Stegostoma tigrinum: one gene and its partner. The main gene of each other region encodes a partner of the protein of the gene in region 2 in a complex. Links are inferred from orthologs where the notes say so. Each region holds a gene or a part of one and is shown on either strand. Other genes may lie near its edges.

Region 1 (10,259 bases), on a different chromosome or scaffold from region 2:
ATGTTCTATGTTCTATCACTTGCTCAATATGTTTATGAGTACTTATAATACTGTATCATGTTTCCAACCATATTCAGAGTCAATAGCATACCACAGAAAACAATCAGAAAATTATCGTATCCTGCATCTACAGTGGCAGATAACCTACTTCCTGATAAAGGGCGAGGCACACATTTGGGATAGAGAGTCCCCAGATCTGCTTAACTAAACATGGGCTTGGGAAAATCAACAAATGACCTGCAAGACTACAATGCTTATCCTCATATTGCTGTATCCTCAGAAATTCTGTATGGCAGTGACACCAATACAATTTACACCTACCGAGAGAAAAGGCTATCATTGGTGTCTATGCTGCACCCTCAGTATATCACACAGAAACAATTTCACCAATGAAGCAGTCCTTTTGTGTTGAAAAATTGCCAGTCATAGCAGGTTCAATCAAGCAAACAAGGCTCTGCTGTCTAAGGCATGTACACAAATGGAAGATGATCAGATCATCAAGCATGTGATATATGACTAAGTTATCAATGCCAAGAAACCAGCAGTGTGCCCAAAGCTCTGATTCAAGAATACTGTCAAGAGAAACAATAACACTCAATCATTACATGTGGGAAACTCAATGATGACCCATACAAATAACAAATTCCTGCCAATAGATGGGTTTGCCACCACCATGATTCCTGGTTTCACAGCTCCAAGACAAATAATAGGCCGGCCAACACAGCATCAGCACAGAGCATCCTATACCATTGGCAAAAACAATGTTCACAGCATATGTGGTAGACTTTGACTTCCCAGAATTGCTTCTTCAGCCATTAAACGATTAGAATAGATTATCTTAAGTGAGCTCACCAAAGTGTGTTGAGGATACATTGACAACCTTTTGCCTGTAAAGGATGTTGGGAATCATTTATATATCCTGCTACGTAAACCTATAAGTTCTTCTTTTAAAAGAAAACACCAGTCATTTTATTGATCTTATTTTAGCAGAGATGACCACAATATTCATCAGTCAGTACTAGTTCCCAGAGATTTTGGCCACATACCAAATGTTGTATTTGGAGACTTGAAACCAGTTCTGCATGAAGAAATTGAATGTAGCAGGCTAAATAGCACCAGTTTCTATCCGTCATCTTCATATTATTATTACTACAATACTTTTATGATATAAAAAGTCAGCAAGGAAAATGTTAAGTTTTGCTCAGTTATTGTTAGATTTTTAACTCAGTTGTGAAACAATAAATTATAGTTACTCTTGAACAACCTCTCCAGTTGTGAAACATTAATCCCACAGAGCACATTTAAAATTGATCGATTACTAAAACAAAATTTTTTAAAAATTTATTTTCAAAATTAATAACTATTCTTTTTCATTAATCCCAAATCCCATTAACTTTTTATGAAATGATTATACAGGAACTATATTCCATGTGTTTTGCTTTCAGCTTCAATTAGTGAAGATTCTCACAGTAAAGAATTAGCTTGTTGCATTTCTGGATTCCACAGATTTTCTATAAATATTATCAAAATCAAATTCATTAGCTTTGAAAAAGGAAATGTATGCTTTGGACAGAACTCCACTACCTTTAGACTGCCCCAGGGTTAATGGCAAGTATGCTTTTGCCACTGACTGTAAAATCTGTGCAAATAATATGATATGTACAGGAGGCAATATTTAATGCTACCCACTTTACTGCATTAATAATGCTACTGTATGCAACTTAAACAATTCCAAGGAAAGTTTTCAGATTACATGTATTTTGATGATGTCAAACAACTCATGAAGCCTGTTACAAAGCAATGACTTTAATTAAGTTATCCTTTATCCCTTTTACAGAAAGCATTTTTCAGAATCATGCTTTGATCTGAACTTAAAAGGTATTCTGGAATAAAAGGACAAAGCTTACATTTTGCTTAACTATTTATTCTTTAAATACATCAGAAATTTGCTCCCAGATACTAAGAATAACATTTTGTTGCTAGATATTTAGTAACCCCATCAATCTTGAGTGATTTCTACTACAATATCAAGGTTTCATGTCTGCATTTTTTTTTAAAATCAGTGCAAGGATTCTAATGTTTCTGGATTGTAGAAGGCAAAATGTGACTATGTTATTTTTATTAACCTTAACTTTCCAAAGTAAATTCAACTTTACTTTGCATCTGACTCCAAGCAAATATAACTCCAAGGTTATACAAGTCAGACTGGAATCTAACCTTTAATGCTATTTCTCTCTCCACAGATGCTTCCAGATCTGCTGACTTTCTCCAGCGCTTTTGTTTTTATTTCAAATTTAACTCTCAACACAGGGAAATTTTGCAAGTAAACATAACTGAATTAATGTCAACTGACCAACTCTAAACATAGTAGTATCCCATCAGGAAAAGAATCAAAATTGTTCGTAATTACTGGAAAGTATTTTTTTTCAAATTCAGATGTTAATTCCCAAACCCACTAATATCTGTATCTTCCTGTAACTAAACTAATTTTATGCATGACATGATGTAAAAATATGCCTTCAATGAAAACTCAATTACAAATCTAACTTGATTTAGCTGCCAGTTTCACTCACTAACCCTCTATAGCCAAAAAATCAATAGCTGTCTACCAAAATAGAATCCATTAGTTCATTCGTAAAACAAAGTTAGACATCTTATCCATGATTAGGAAGTGACCCACATATGGTTTATGACTCAGTTAAGGAAACTGTATACCATTAATGATTAATTCACTGAAAGGAAAGTAGTAATAATATCTAAATTTCAGCAGCATAGATCATTGTTACTTCATGAAAGTTACGAAGTAATGGGAAGATCACAAGCATTTCCAGTGTGTAATTCCCAAATCCAAACAATTTTAACAAATATTATCAACAATATGTTCCACAAAGTTGTGGTAACAAACATTGCGGTTAAATAATAATTTAAAATCAGCATTTGAAAGTTTTACTTTTTTTATAAACAAAATACAGCAGTGAGGAGAGTTCTGCTCGTTTGAATAAAATTGCAATAAAATACTAATTTAATAGACATTCTGCATTTTTGGAGAGGAGAAAAAACATTGTATTCATTTCTTATGTTAACAATATAAATTGTTCACCCATTTACTATTAAAATAAGGTTAGTTTGGGCTGTCATCACTTTTACTGCCAGGGAATCTAATAAATCCTAACTAGTCATTAAATTATTCTACCAACATTTATTCCACATTTATGAAATGGGTCTGCCTAAACCCCATGTAATGGTCAACAATTGAATGTTTATTTAAAAGTGGAAATTACTGTTAAAATAAGTCAATCGAACACAATCGCCTTTCAAGAGAAGTCGTTGTGCAAGTGTTGATGAGATCTGAAATAAACCGTCAGCGGTTTGGTGCGGGAGGGGGGAGCTGTCCATTGTACTGTACCACAAACTGACGGGCTGCAACAAGATGCCATGACACTTCCCATTCATTCAATTTCTATTCCCTGAGCACTGAATGCACAAATACTGAAAATCCACACTGCTATATCAGCCACCTTTTCTTAAAACAAAATGAGCAAACTGTCCATTTGCTATGCTTAATGGAGAAGGAGGGTCTGAAAGATATGGTCGATTGTAATATGTATTAAAGTGTATACGATTTGAAAAGCATGCCAGGAATTTAAGTTTGTTCCCATTCCAGAATCCGTTTGACGTATTTACTTTACAAAAACTGCTCCTGTTAGTTTAGACAGTCGAATCGTTCCAGAATAGGAATTTGACAGTAACTTCTACAGTCTCTGTCCTGGCACAAAGGGTGGCAGGATCGGTTAATATTTTAACTTCTAATGAAGCAAAACTGAGGCGTGGGTGGGTGGGTGGGGGGGGTTGTAGGAGGGAGGTTGCGCGAAACAACCAACCAACAATCCCCACACCCACCCCAGGTGCGGTTATTCGTCAGTAAAAATCTGACAGATGGGCTGCAACGAATTCATTCGTAAGTGCTAGTGGCATGAGGGTGTCACTAACTCTGAAATATCAAAACAAACTGGATGTCCAGCACATTTCACATAGAAAATAACTGCCACATCATTGAAATATTATTTCGGGTTCAAATAATGAGGCCCGAACGGCTTCATCTGGTTTGACAGCGATCCAGACAGTCGCTCGCTAAAGAAAGAGCAACCCCTTGACGAAACAACCCCTCACTCTCTGTGTGTCAGGTGAATGCAAATGGACCAAATGACTATTTTGCTTAAAATTTCTGAATGAATCGTGTGTGTGTGTGTATATATATGTGTGTGTGTGTGTGTATATATATATGTGTGTGTGCGCGCACCTACTAAAGTCTATGAGAGGCTGCTGATATCCATTCATTCACTCATTCATTGATGAACCATTGCAGCTCCGTGGAAGCAGTGAGTGACAGGAGGCGTTGGGGTAGGGATGATGATGGTGGGGGTAGGTGGGGGGGCCTCTTACCTCCGACACAAAGGAGAGACATGTCTCCGGTCTCCTCGGCCACGCTCCACTGATCCTCCTGCTCTTCCAAAGACTTTTCTCCTCTCTCTCTCTCTCTCTCTCTCTCTCTTTCTCCGGCCGTTAGATGATACACGTATGCTTTTCTTTATCGTCTTGTGGAGAGGTTAAAGAGTCTGTAGAAAGAGGCTGCCCCTATCGCCCGGCTCTTTAGCAGTAACAGCAGCTCCTCGTTGTCTCCGTCTGCCTGTCTCTCGATGTCTGCTCCTGACCGTTACTCTACGGCCGCCATTTTGTTGGGAGCAGCCCCTGGCCCGACTGACGTCACAATGGGGCGGCGCGAGAATGGATTTGGCGGGATGACAGCAGCTGAACAGATCCCAACAGGGATCCGGAGAAATCGCGGGCGGATTCCCTACTGGATCCGGGGATACGGCGGCCAACTCCGGATAGATCCCAACAAGAATCCGGAGAAATCGCGGACGGGATCCAGAGAAATCGCGGCAACTCGAGACAGATCTCGACGAGGATCCAGATAATTCACATACAGATCCCAATAGGGAAGCGGAGAAATGGTGGCCAACTCCGGACAGATCCCCACCGGGATTCAGAGAAGGCATACCCAACTTCGACAGATCACAGATCTGGGAACATACCGCAACTCCAATTGGTTGCCAGCAGCTCTGGAAAGATCCCAATAGGTATGTATAGATCCAACAAATCCTAACAAATCACAGCCAATCTGGATAGATCCCAAATACGGCACATCTCTGTTATACCCAGAAAGTCTGGACAGACCTCGGCAACTCCAGATAGATCCCATCAGCTGTTCATCAATCTCAACAACACCAGAGAAATCACTATGGCTCAAGTCAGATCCCAGATGGTGCAAACAAGGCAGATCCCAGTCAGATTCCACAACTCCTGACAGATCCAAATACTTGGACATTTCACAGCAACTCCAGATAAATACCAGCAACTTAATGTACTTTGGGAAAACTGCAACAGAGCACAGTGTCAGGTTGGTAGATCAAAGCAACTCCAAGCAGGAAGTCTTACCAGCCAAAAAAAATAGAAGTTGCTGGAGCAACTCAGCTGTTTCGTATTGTCTTCTTAAGACCAGACTCCAAACATTAACTGTGATTTCTCTCCACAGATGCTGCCAGACCTGCTGGGTTTCTCTTGCAATTTCTGTTTTTGTTCAGATTTCCAGCATCCACAGTTCTTTGTTTTATTTTACAGTTAGGAGCCAGAAAGACTCAAGCTGCTCCTGCAGTAACAATGTTGAGCCAGCAAATAGACATATCAAGTAATAGGCATGAACCAGAGAATGTCTGACAGAGTGAGGGGCCTCACCTCAGAGGCAATGTCCTATCAGACAATGGGACTGTTGAAAGAAGCATTCACCCAAAGTCCCCTTTCCTATTTGAGCTCCAAGCCGGCATAACTACTGGGATTCCTGCTATCTTCCTCACAGTCAGAACATTGTGGCTGGGTGTGAGGAGGTGGGTGGGTAAGCAGCTGGAAATCACTCTTTGAATGTTTCACCCCACCACACCAGCAAATATGGCTATAAAATGATACCCATGGAATCTTCCCCAAACTAAACCCACCCAAATACACTCGATCTTAAACTCATTCATGTTAAAATTCACCATGCTTCCCCAAAGTGTCTGAAGATACAATAAGACGAGAATTTTCCAGAAACAAATGATTACATAATTGCATCTTCATTTTGAAGATGGTCGGTCTAGGAGCAGCAGCGTTAGAAGCATTAAACAAACACTTTATATTTAGTTATTTCCTAATACAAAATTGTTACGATATTTAAATAATTATGTTAAAGATTAATTATGATTGCTTGTGTGAGGTGTTGGGGAAGGCCATTTAAGTTATCATCCTAGTCAATGGCCTTAATTATGGGTAAGCCTTACAAATGCAACACCATAAAAACCGAAAGAACTGCGGATGCTGTAAATCAGGAACAAAAACAAAGTTGCTGCAAAAGTTCAGTGGGTCTGGCAGCATCTGTGAAGGAAAAAACAGAGTTAACATTTCGGGTCCAGTGACCCTTCTTCAGAACACCACGCAACACTATGTCTAGGGATATACATGAACATTGTACTCATCAAATCATGCTCACCATTATTTGGGGATGTAGTGTGTGGTGCCATGGGTGACAAGTGCAAAACATCTGCAGAACAACAAGACCATTGTGATCAAATTGCTGGCTATTTAAGCAAGCACATACTATTTTACCGCACGGTGATGCTACTACATTTGGCTGGAAGTATTTATCAATAAAGATCACTTGCATTTATGTAGGATCCAATCGTGCTAAAATGTTTCAAATTGTTTCAGTTGATTAATTACTTTTAGAGTGTAGCAATCATTCTTCTGTAGTCAAACAGAACAGCAATTCTACTGCGTTATGCTGAGGCAAATCAGTAAATTGCTCCAGTAAGTTCAGCTATGTAATAAATTCAGCTTTATCATTGTTCAGAAGAAGACTGTGCAAATCGTTTACCAGCTGTGTATGGAAACAAGATAATACTCAAAACTACAGATTGGTGAGCTTTACATCTGTAGCAGGTACAACATAAGGTGGCATCCTGGAGGAAGATTAAAGGAGTTGTTTTTTTTCTAAAAATAAAATCAAATAACAAGAGCTATCTAGGTCTTAGCATTCAGAGATTATGTTTGACAAACTTAATCAGAGTTCATCAACACAAGATTTAGTGGAAAGACAATTCAGTGGACCTCTGGATAATGTCACATTGTGGTGTTTTCAGGAGGAAAAAGTGAGGGATGACCTACAATATTGTAGCCTGGATTCTTTGATACATGCTGTCCACGAATACAGCCAGCCCTTCCCTCCCCTGCTCAGAGCACATGACTGCAAACTTACTCCCTATATCCTTCACAACTCAATTTTTTTTAATGAGAATGCCCAGAATTTTGTGTGAACTTGCAAAGGGGCTACAATTTATTCTTTGGATATCAGTTCCACACTTGGAGAAGTAAATTTAGACTTCAGAATAGTGTCTTTGCAAAGTGCATTTGTCCCTAAAATAATTGAGTGACATGATATGAAAGTGAAATGGAGTTACAAGTTTTGACATTTACCATCAGGTTTGCTGTGAAATGTTACATTTATTCATTGTGTAGCTGTTTGAAACACGCAATATTAACATTTATTTTTCATTTTCTAGTTGCCTATTAAATACTGTTCAGGATGAAGCATTCTTTATATCCTGCACGTCATTTATTGTAGTCCCTTCTAGCCGATTGGAATCTGATTCTAATATTCTAACCTGGAACTAGACAGAGGCTCTGGAAATATGAAAATATTGTTGGCAAAATGCCGGGGAATCTTAATGGACTCCCTGAAACAATTCATCATAAATCAGGCACTGCAAGGTGATTATAAATAAAAGTTGAAAAGTCAGAACTAGTCAAGATGTGAATTCCAGAATCACAGACATTTTCCTCCTTTAACCATTTTGACATTCAGAATTTTGTTTATTTATTTACTTCAGGTTATTTACTTTGTTAAATGTGCTCCTTCTTCGTAGCTTAACGAACGACCGTTCTAGCTCACATAAGTACTTTCACGGTTTTTGGTCTGACGTTAACTTTTTCATAGAAACTGATTGTGTTGTTAGAATTAAGCATCCACCCACTGCATCCCAAAACCAGTCCAACCTGTCTCTGCCTCCCTAACCGGTTCTTCCTCTCACCCATCCCTTCCTCCCACCCCCAGCCGCACCCCCAGCTACCTACTAACCTCATCCCACCTCCTTGACCTGTCCGTCTTCCCTGGACTGACCTATCCCCTCCCTACCTCCCCACCTACACCCTCTCCACCTATCTTCTTTGCTCTCCATCTTCGGTCCGCCTCCCCCTCTCTCCCTATTTATTCCAGTTCCCTCCCCCCATCCCCCTCTCTGATGAAGGGTCTAGGCCCGAAACGTCAGCTTTTGTGCTCCTGAGATGCTGCTTGGCCTGCTGTGTTCATCCAGCCTCACATTTTATTATCCTGTAATGTAGTATGGTTTCCGCATTTAAACTCAACATCTGCCCAGCTGTATTTAAAGTTGCAAGGGTCGTTTTTTTAAAAAAAAATTCACTGTCCCCATTCTGCACAGTGGGTACGGCTTGTGTGAGGGCATTGAACCCACTCACTCAAAAGGCGCTCCGTTCACACCCAGCTGCATTTCATCTGCAGCAATTCGCAGTCAGCCAAGAATCTCTATGTAGAAAAGCGGCAGTCTAATTTAAATCTACAAATTGAAGATTAATTATATAACTGACGTGCAATGCGATTTGAACTATGATTCAGTAGGAGGCGTGTGATGTTAAATATGCCAGAAACATCTGACAATATTTAAAAGAAACATCGGGAAGTACTGTGTTCAACCTTTGAGAGGATTCCTTAGGCGGTCTGGAGAAATAGAAATACACTTTAGGCCTTGGATGACTCCTTCACTAGTTCTTGCCAAATTTTCTTCAGCGGCATCGCCTTGCACCCCAGCTTCCATTTCTACTTGCTGACCTCGATATCATTCCCATTCAAATATTAAAAGCAAATGGTGATTAACATTAACCAAAACCTTCCCTCTGAACTTGTTTGGATACCGCCCAGTTTTGGCTTCCCGGGCACAAACCTGCCCAGTTCTTAAAATACCTCTCCCAGAATGTAACGTAGCCTCGTGTGTATAATTATGTATACACACATTAAAAGAAATGGGCGTTTGAACTGTGTTCAAGGTTTCAATAAACTGGGCCGTTCTGTCTTTTATTTGTGAATTGCTGGAGCTCTGCTTCTACATGGTAGTTACAAGTCTTTCAGAGTGCTGCCACTGTCTGACAGAGAGACTGAGATTTCCCACTATGCTGGTAATTACAGCTACTCGCTGACAGTGTAGAAAATAGAGCCACTGATTTCAATTCTGCACATGGTCACCAAATACACTGATATTCGTTATAGTTTATTAAAATGGGGGGAAAGTCGAAAAGGAGCACATAATATCGCAGTGAAGTTGTACAAGACATCCTGAAATCACAAAAGTTCCCATATTACTTATTCGTGAACAAGTAGAAAAGGTGCCTGCAAGACACTAAAATAACTGTTAGAAGTGACTCGTTCCGAAGAAGGGTCATTTGGGGTCGAAACGTTAATTCTGCTTTCTCTCTGCCAGACCTGATGAGTTTCTCCAGCAATTTCTGTTTTTTTTCTTTGATTACGGATTTCCAACATCTGCAGTTCTGGGACTTTGAGTCAAACAGACTCGGATTGAAAAATCGATTCAAATCTGTTTAGGCTGAAACAAAAAGTTGTCAAGTAAACTCAAAGTTACGTTAAAGGCTCGATTCCGGCCCCACAAGAATTTTTCCGCCCTTGTAACAGCAAATAAAATTCTTCCCGACCAACATCACCCAGAACTGCATATTTCTTCCCGGTTACAGGACATCTATCGAACCTACGACAAACTCAGGAGGTCCAACCTATATGCAAACTTGATTGCTACGTGCTTCACCACACAATCCCAGCCTCAGGGCAGACCAAGGTTCTTCCAACCTCTGCCAGAGTAGCAGATTTATGGGAATTCCACCCTCTGCATCTTCTAAGTCACACACCATCGCCATTCGTAACTATAACACCATTTATCCACTGTCGTTGGAACAAAGTCTTGGATCTCCTATCAGACCAGCACTAGGTGCACCTACAACCCAGGGTTGTAGCGACCCACCATCACCTTCTCCAGGACCATATCCTATGGACGAAATTTAAAAAATCAAAGTAGTGTGACTCAGTT
Region 2 (9,909 bases):
AGAAAAAAATGGAGTAGGAATAGGCCATTTGGCCCTCCAAACCTGCTCTGCTATTTAATATGTTCGCCCCAGACATTTGGCAATATTGTTTGAGTGAAATATAGTTGATTTGTTTTTCCTACGGGTTAAAATCATTGTCAATAGAGGATATTTTGTTGTAACTGTTTTTCTTAGCAAAACAGTAAGGGTGTTCCAAATTGATGCATTCCAATTTAAGTTTGATCAGATCCAGGGAAATCTTTTATGGTCTCCCCAAAACAGTGAGCGAAGGAAATCTTGGAATTTTGCACTGACCTAATCTTCCTGCTAAATCACTGAAGCTGCTCAGATCTGACTAGGATATTCCGTTGTAAAAATAATTGCTTGGCTGTACAGAACTTGAGTATTGTTGGGAGGAAATAAATGAGCAACTGAGCAGGGTAGATGCAAGAATGCCAAATTTCAAAGGGAACAAAAGTTTATACTACCTGAAACAGATGCTGCTGATTGGTGAGTGAACTGCGATTGTTTGAGGTGTTGCCGGGGAGATTGCACCCAGTGAACAGGTACTCCTAAGCTTTTATTTAAATTTGAGAAAGGGCAGGTTTGAGTATGATTGATCAAGATATGCAATAGCCAATACACCAGTACCTGGGGGCACCGGGGTCCCCAGGATTTTAATTGAAAAAGCACAAAGCTGGAAAGATCCCTTTCTTAGAAAGAAGCCTGTATTTGAATATATGTAAAACTTTGCTCTAACATCACTGCTCCCTTGATCTTTGCAACACTAACCACTGCCCTGACTGAAGTTGAATCATGTGTTCCCCTCCCAGTCTCACCTACTTACTGGAAGGATGTTGTAACAATTGCAGTACTTGATTATAAATCAGTCTTAGTCTTAGCCTGTCTATGCCAGGAGGTTGTGGCATTGCAGTAGTTCATTGCAATGAGGGCCAAAGCTGAATGTCTCTTGACACTTGTACCTTCCCTGTACTTCCCAAACGCCAAGAATGGGTGCTTCCAAACTTCTGGTCAAAGTTGATGGTGTTGATAATATATAGTTACAAATGAACATTACCATGCAGATCAAACCAAGAAATCTTTCTCCCATGTTTACAATGCCATTGATGCATAGCAGCTAAATATTTTGAGTATCTGAAGCAAACCTGATCTTTGCAACACATGAAGGTATAAGGTCCTTCAAAGTTCCAAAGTAGTATCTATGGCATACATTACATACCTGACGGAAAGTACAGTGGATGCCAATTGACAAAGAAATTAATGTTTGAGCACGTAATGTCTGCTCTATAAATATAGAGCAAGCATATCATTTCATATTTGATGCTGGCCTTCCATTTACAAGCCAATATCCTGTCTTAATCTTGCACAAGAAACACTAGTGCAGCAACATGAATTCACATCAAAAATTTTTTTAAGAGAATAATTTCAGGAGCAATTCTGTGTTTTGGTGAGCTCTGTTAAAATTTCAGCAATGCACGGGGTGGAATATAAGGTGCTGGAAGTATTTTTTGCTGCCTTTAAAGGCTTTTTCACTGACCAGCTGCTCAGATATGGGCAAATCAATAGGCTTTTCTCTTAGTACAATACTGGGCAAGAAAGGAGAATAAGCAAAAGTGGAACAGATTAGGAAGGAAAGGACAAGTACTTTTACCATGAGGTTGTTTTTGCCTAGAGGGAGCAATTGAGAATAGATCGCAGATGATGCCTTTGTTTCTTTGCACCCTGCCATCCGGAGTTATCCTGGCAGCTGAATGAACTGAGATGGCAGAAAACTAAGATTGCAGATTACCAGTCTGAGATCCCAATGTAGCATTGATATCTTGGTTGGATCATACTCTCACTGCAAAAGAAACTGAAATAGATCAGATACTGCATTATGGCAGGTTCTACAACAGTGCTACTGCTTGTTAGAAAGTGAGTGCTGCAGACACGGCAGAGCCCTATGCTTAGTCGTTGTTGGAATTTGCCATACTCCTTGACATTGAGGGTGGTCCATCTAAAATCACGAAATCGTACAGTCCCTACAGTGTGGAAGCAGGTCATTTGGTCCAGCAAGTCCACACCATCCTTCTAAAGAGCATCTGTCCCTAATTCATATGTTGATATCTATGGACTTGGTCTCAGCAATGGCCATGCCCATAATGACCAGCATAGCGTCCTTCCTGTAGGCTTGTACGTGCAAGTTAAGTATGAGTTTTGATCATGAGTGATTGTTGATGTGTAAGAGTTGGGGACTTGGTGAATTTCCCAGTGGGTGGGACTAATGGGACAGTTGATAGGATATGGAATTGAAGATGCAATGGCAGATCTTGATCATTTGTTTGAGTTGAAAGAACTGCATTAATGTTCTGAGCGCCAAACTCCTGACATTGACCTCTAGTTCTTTCTCTTGCCAATGCCTTCTGAGATGTACCTCAAGGGTCTCCAGTCTTGCTGAGTGTACAGAGCATTTCTTGTTTATTCACTCACTTCTACCAAGATATCCAGTGCAGCAGCTGAAAATCTTGCTCCCTCCCATAGTCTGTCATTGTTGCACATTCCAAATGATCTCGGTATTGCCAGAAGTTACAATGCATCTTTCCTTTTAGGAGGTGCAGGCTAGCTTTAAATAGTTATTGTAATTATGTTGGGGCCTGCTGATGCATTCAGTCAGAATTGCAGATTAGCTGTGGCTACATGCAGGAATCATTATCATGAGCAGTTGCCCTCTTGCTGCGTTATATTGAACAAATGTAGGTGAATCTCTTGTGACCTGCACATCTGTTTTGAAAGGCTGGCCACGTTAGCCCTTTAACACTTTAACATTGTTTGATTTGAAGAATAATTAATCTTTGGAAATGTAAGTCTAGAGATTGCTATCGGCAAATGTCGACAATGAGCTTTTAACACAGATCTTAAGACTGGAAGATAGGGGAGCAGAATTAGGCCATGCAGCATATCGAGTCAGACTGCCATTCAATCGTGGTTGATATATTTTTCAACCCTGTTTGCTTGCACTCTCTTCGTAATCCTTGATTCCCTTACTAACCAAGAACCTGTCTATCTCTCTGTCTTAAATAAACTCAATGAATTGCCCTCCTTAGCCCTCTGCAGCAATGAGTTTGACAGAGTCACCACCTTTTAGCTGAAGAAGTTCCTCCTTATCTGTAAGTTTCAATGAGATCTTACCTCCTCCTTTTAAACTCCATCGAGTACAGACGAGTCCTCAGCCACTTGTTGTATGGTGGCCTTTCATCTAAGGATCATTCTTGCAAACCTCTCCCAGACCACCTTCAACACAGCTCCTCTCCCCTTAGTAATGGGCCCAAAACTGCTGTCCGTATTCCAAACATGGTCTGATGAGAAACTTGTACAGCATCTGCAGTACATCTGTTCTTGTCTTCTGGCCCTCTAATGAATGTCAACATTGCAGTTGCTAACTGAACCTGCATATCATTATTAAGAAAACCCTGAACAAACACTCCCAAGTCTCTTTTGCACTTCAGATTCCTGAAGCCTTTCTTGCTTCGAAAATACACCTCTATTCTTCCTACCGAAATGAGTAACCTCACACCTTTCCCACATTGCATTTCATCTACCAGTTCTTTCTCCACTTGCCTAGCATGCCTAATTCCATCTGTGGCCTCTTTTCCTCAACATTACATGCCCTCTACTTAGTATTTGCAAAATTAGCGATAATGCACTCAGTTCTTCCATCCAGATCAATAATGAGCAAAGTGAATATTTGTGGTCGTAACACTGAGCCCTGCGGAGCTCCACAAGTCACCAATTGCTACTCGGTAAAAGATTTCTTTATCCCTACTCTCTGCCATCAGTAAGTCAGCCAATTCTCTATCCTTGCCAGTATTTTTCTCCTAACACCATGGACTCTTTTTTTCTTATTTAGCACTTTGTCAAAGGCATTCTGGAAACCCAAATAGTAGATGTCATGGGTTTCATAGAATACCTATAGTGTGGAAGCAGGCTATTCGGCCCATTGTGTTAGCACCAACCCTCTGAAGAGCATCCTACCCACCTCCAACCCTATTCCTGTGACCCATTACTTCCCTTGGCTAATTAATCTCGTCTGCACATCTGTGCACGCGATGGACAGTTTATAACCAATCCACCTAACCTGCATATCTTTGGACTGTGAGAGGAAACCTGTGCACATGGGGAGATTGTGCAAACAGACAGTTGTCTGAAGGTGGAAGTCAACCTGGTTTGCAGGTACTGTAAGGTAACAGTGCTAACCACTGTCCTCTGCCTCTCCTTTTTTGCCTAACTTACTTGCTCGCTAAGCTATCTGCTTCAGACCTCTGGTGTATAGTGCATCCGGTTGAAGTGATTTATATCACTTCAGACTTTTCAGTTTCCCCAGCACCAGTGATGGCCACTACATTCGTTTTTGCCCCTGACTCTTAAAATTCAATTATGTTGCTCTTGTCCTAAGTCAGTGCTGGTGGGTTTAGATGGTGCCGTCCTAAGTTTTGGTGAGTTGTATTTTGTAGATGGCACACGCTACGGCCACTCTGAATTGAGAGTAATGAGTGTTTATGGTGATGGTCTGAATCAGGTTTATCCTGGATGGTGTCAAGCTACTTGAATATTGTTGGTTGCACCCATCCAGGCAGAGGGGAGTGTCCCATCATACTCCTTACTGTGCCTTTGTAGATGGCGGGCAGCCTTTGGGGAGACAGAAGCTGAGCTGTCTGTTCCAGAATTCCCAAACTTTTATGTGGTTTTACAGCCACACTATTTATATTGCTTGTCCAATTCAGATTCTTGCCAACATTAACCAGAATGTTGGTAAACAAATTAAACATGCACTAAAGAGGTACGTGTATCAGGAAGGATTGAAATGGTTGAGGCTCTTTTCTTCAAGAAATTGGCAAGCTGAGAGATGACTTTTCGAGTAACTAGAATTTATTGTATTTTGATCATACTTTTGAACTATTCTTTTCTTAAGGTCATGGATGATAGCTAATAATTATTGCCCTGTTATACAACACAGCCTTTCACTATTTATTTGCATAGATGCTGGAGTTCGATTTCAAGCCCATACTATTAATCCAGGGCAATGATTTACAGTTGCAGTTGAAATTAAGTGCCATTCTGGCACTCCATCTAAGTTTTGGACCAACATTGCACCTGTGAACCAGCTTCTCGCTCCAATACAGAATATAGAAAGAATGGATCAATGATATTTCACAATTTTTTTTATAATTGCACGTATCGGTTAAGATTTCTCTTGAGAAATGAAACTGACCTTAGTGTCTGCACACAACCTTTTTTAATTTCTGATTTTTCTGTTCAATGCAGTGTGGTAGCTTCTCAGAACAAAGCAGGTTAGCATTTGCCCACTCTGTACTATAATTTGTTGTGCTCCCTAGAGGAATTGTACTGCTTCAGTTTTATGTTCTGCTGACTATTATCATTGAAATATGATGAGAGCAGGGCTGTAGAGATTTGAATTGTATGTTTAATTTTAAGTCTGAGTTTTAAAGGTATCTTTTTGGATTGGGATTAATACAGAAATTTCAGACAGTGAAACAGATGAAAAACCTGCCCACTCTTCTGCAAGCCATATGCAGCCGCAGCAGTTTGCCATGGATTGAACAAGATGGCCACAGCAAGAAGTATACCTTCTGACAAAAATCTGGCATTATTGACTTTGTCATGTAGTACAGCGTGAGATTGAGATGTGGGGAAAGTGTGGGGTTAGGTGATAAACTGCTTTCTGCTGTTATTGCACACAAATCATAAGAAGACTGCCTAGGAGATGCAGGAAAATTCTAAGACACATACGAATGCTGTTTTCTATCTCTGGGATGAGTGCTGTACACATGGTCAGCATTACTGGATTTTAAACCTGTAAGACTGTTACTTGACAAATCCAGTATTTTTACCTGTTGAAAATTGTACCCATATAATTGACAAAAAGTCATGCCCATCTGGAACAGGTAGGATTTAATATAGTTGCTGGATAATTTTTATTTCAACATTTCAATGGACTTTTGCAGTAATAATAATTTTAAAATGTGTTTCTAATATTAGTTAATAATGTTCAAGTTTATCTTAATATTTGTGAGTTGAGAGACAAGAATTGGAAAGGAAAAGATTTGAAAACTTTCTTGAAACAATGGTACAGGGCTATATTGTTAAGCTGAAAGGAGAACTAAACTCAAGATGAATTAAAATCTGGAATTAATATTTATTTCCATTATTATATTGTGGCTGTTGTGTTTTTCACTTTCATACGTGGTGTAATAGCATTCTGAAGCTTTTCAGATGTTAAAACTTTTTTGCCTACAAAAGAAAACTAAACTAATCAAAGAACCTTGACAACATAGAGGTCTGACAGCTTGGATAGTAGCTTTTCATTTCCACAGAGGTGATTATGGACAACCTGAATCTGTTGAAATTTTGCTTTGCATATTTTTCCAAACAGTTGGAATTAGACTTTTCTTCAGAATAGCTTTATAACATAATAGCCCTGCTGAAATTGTCATATAACAATCTATTATGAGGCTGGAGGTTGAAAATATTTGAAATTATGTTGAACCGAGATTTATTGAAGTGGAAAGTTATCAATCTTGCAATCAATTGATAGTGTGCTTCAATAATTTAATTATACTAGTTTACTCGATATTAAGAACATTACACTCATAGATCTGAATTTTAATTCGAATTGATTAGATGTCAATTTTCAGCTTCTCTCCGTGAGCTCTACTGAGAGATCTCTCAATTTTGGCCACCTTATGCACCCTGTCTCTATGGCACTGTTTTTGCACTCAGCAACAAATGTGGTCATCATCACTATTGGAAACTTCCAAGATTTCTATAGACAGACTCTATTTAAGAGCCACGTTTGCATCAGGCTGATCACTGCCAGGCATGAATTCAGTTTACAGTATAATGGCAAAGAAAATGAAAAATAAAAGCTTCTGAAGGCATGGGTGACTGTTCATTGGAAATAGAAACCCACTTTACTAAGTGTACAAATGCATCATCACCTGCCTGATCCTTAGTTCTACTCTATGATGCAATCCTGACTAAGGAAATGCTACTCCTCCCATAATGTGCAGCAGAGCATAACATCTTACCATTGTTCATTGTGGGAGTATGACTTGTTGAATGGCCTTCAAATAGTGGGAAATGTTTATCAAAGATAAAAATCTAACAAAACAAGCTTCATTTGTTTCTGAATGTAAATCGTGGTTGTTTGCTTTCAAGCAACAACAAATTTACAGTGAATAACAGATCATGTCACCAATTGCCATGTGTTGGAAGCAAGTATCAATTTAGTCCTGTATCACAGATAATGGGAACTGCAGATGCTGGAGAATCCAAGATAATAAAGTTTGAAGCTGGATGAACACAGCAGGCCAAGCAGCACTCTAGGAGCACAAAAGCTGACATTTCGGTCCTAGACCCTTCATCAGAGAGGGGGATGGGGTGAGGGTTCTGGAATAACTAGGGAGAGAGGGGGAGGCGGACCGAAGATGGAGAGTTAACCCTGCAGCCCAATGGTATCAATGTGGACTTCACCAGCTTCAAAATCTCCCCTTCCCCCACCGCATCCCAAAACCAGCCCAGTTCGTCCCCTCCCCCCACTGCATCACACAACCAGCCCAGCTCTTTCCCTCCATCCACTGCATCCCAAAACCAGTCGAGCTTGTCTCTGCCTCCCTAACCTGTTCTCCCTCTCACCCATCCCTTCCTCCAAACCCAAGCCGCACCTCCATCTCCTACCTACTAACCTCATCCCACCTCCTTGACCTGTCCGTCTTCCCTGGACTGACCTATCCCCTCCCTACCTCCCCACCTATACTCTCCTCTCCACCTATCTTCTTTTCTCTCCATCTTCGGTCTGCCTCCCCCTCTCTCCCTATTTATTCCAGAACCCTCACCCCATCCCCCTCTCTGATGAAGGGTCTAGGCCTGAAACGTCAGCTTTTGTGCTCCTGGGGTGCTGCTTGGCCTGCTGTGTTCATCCAGCTTCACACTTTATTATCATCAATTTAGTCCTATTTGGTTTCTTGTACTCTGCTGCAGTACTGTATCATGGTGAAAGTGATGTTCATTCTGCTCAATTGATAGTATACTCCAATAGTTTCATTATACTAGCTTGTTCTATATTAAGAACATTAGACTCATAGAACTGAATTTTAATTGGAATTGATGAAGTGTCAATTTTCAGCTTCTCTCCATGAGCTCTGGCGAGTTATCCCTCTCCATTCTCCTCAACTTCCTCCTCTGAAGATTGCTGCAGTTGCAGCTCTTCAACATCCGTCACATCCCCTCTTTGTCTGCTCCGGTGAACAGAGCACAACATGCTAGGATCATGTGATGCACCCTGACAGACTGGACTGCAAAACTGTGTCAGACTGATCCAGGCATTGGAATTTCACCTTCAGGAGGCATAGCATCTGCTCTATGGTGGCTTTAGTGGAAGAATGGTCTGCACTTTGCATCTACACTCAGCCTCAATCAAGGGTTTATGCAATGGTCAGCAACTGTGGATGCAGAGGGGAACCTTATTCTCAAGTAGCAAACTTTTTAAGCCATATGATCCTTGAGATGAAGCAGGAAATGAATTCTCAAGGATATGGACACCTTCTGGGCTGCCCAAAGCAGACTCTTAAGATGCGATACCCATGATGATGTATTGTTTGAATGTTGACCGAATAGATCCTTTTCTTATTGATGAATTCAGCCATTTTTAAAATGATATTCTTAGCACAATGTGTACAGTCTTTAGAGTCCTATAGCTGGAAGAAGCCAGCTATGTTGGCAAATACTGACAGGCTGCAACACTTACCCTGTCATGGAAAAATCAGATAAATGATGTGAACTGACACAAATTGGATCAATAACAGCCAAGATACATTTGTGGGTTGAGAGGTCTTAGTAGGTCTACAGTGGATCTTTGGAAGCAGCCTGTTGCATAAAAAATTTAGTGCAGCTATCAACTTGACAGTAATTCTGATGGGCTGGCTATCTGCCCTTGAGGGTACAAATCCTGCCCATCAAATGATACAAGTCTGTGACAGTGTCCTGGGACATTGAGTCTATGGCAGCAATAAGCCTGCTAATCCTGAAGAAATGTCATTGAGGTCAATAGACTCTTGACCTGCTGGGCTTGAGATTGGACACTGCCCTTGACCAAGTCTGGTGAGGCAAGCTCATTGACAGTAATCCCTGTTGACGTGACTGAGGACAACTCGGCTTAGATTTTGAAATGTGGCGATTTAGTGGAAACGCATTCAGTGTGTTTGCCGCAAAGTTGCTGGCACATGCTGGAGGCGTGAAATTGATCTAACACAGTGCCATATGTCAATATTAACCCTGTTGACTGTTCACTGCTGGCATATGTGGTAAATTGCCCAGATTTGTCTAAAAAGATGATGAAGAAAAGGTTTTTATATAATGAGTAGTTAGGATCCAAGATGATGTGCCCAACTGAAGGGTGGAGGCCAATCCATGTGAACTTATGAAAAGGAATTGTGCCTTTCTCCATTTTTCTTGTGTTCTGTCCTCCCTGCCACACCACCTCAGGCAGTCTTCCTTGTCTTGATCACTTTGCTGCCTATAAAAAAGGACCCATTCTCACCCTTCATACCTTAATTCATGTCCATTTTACATATCTCTTTTTAGGCTTCTATACCATCTGTTGGATTTATCCCTGCTCTGCCTCTGCTAAAAGTCTACAAATACACATTTTCTAACATCTTTGAGTTTTGAAAATTAGTCTTATTAGCACTGAAAATGTAAACTCTGTTTTTCGTTCTCCACGAATGTTCCCAGACTTGCTGAGTTTCTTCAGCAACATTTGTGTTTATTCTTATGAAAAAGAAATTTGCTAAGTACATGAAGATAAAAAAAATTGCAGGCAAACTGGAAAATGGTGTGAAATGAGCTGGATTG

What was found. Proteins that work in one complex are often made in the same cells at the same time.
Region 1: the proteins of rims2a (region 2) and protein unc-13 homolog A-like are in contact, whole or in part, in a crystal structure (PDB 2CJS), measured with the Rattus norvegicus proteins. The link is inferred for Stegostoma tigrinum from reciprocal best matches to the Homo sapiens genes RIMS2 and UNC13A. Residues at the interface, in XP_063118965.1 of Rattus norvegicus: Asp102, Gly103, Cys104, Ser109, Gln112, Val123, Leu125, Ser127, Asn128, Lys129, Val134, Met135, Trp136; in NP_074052.2 of Rattus norvegicus: Tyr23, Ile36, Trp65, Leu69, Ile70, Trp71, Asp72, Thr73, Met74.

The regions. Positions count from the first base shown.
Region 1 is NC_081383.1:22,118,985-22,129,243, forward strand, and holds the start of protein unc-13 homolog A-like, read right to left. Parts: upstream 4,746-10,259; 5' UTR 4,466-4,745; coding exon 4,444-4,465; intron 1-4,443. UniProt on the Homo sapiens protein: Plays a role in vesicle maturation during exocytosis as a target of the diacylglycerol second messenger pathway.
Region 2 is NC_081358.1:60,890,413-60,900,321, forward strand, and holds the start of rims2a (regulating synaptic membrane exocytosis protein 2), read left to right. Parts: upstream 1-5,760; 5' UTR 5,761-5,925; coding exon 5,926-5,942; intron 5,943-9,909. UniProt on the Homo sapiens protein: Rab effector involved in exocytosis. May act as scaffold protein. Plays a role in dendrite formation by melanocytes.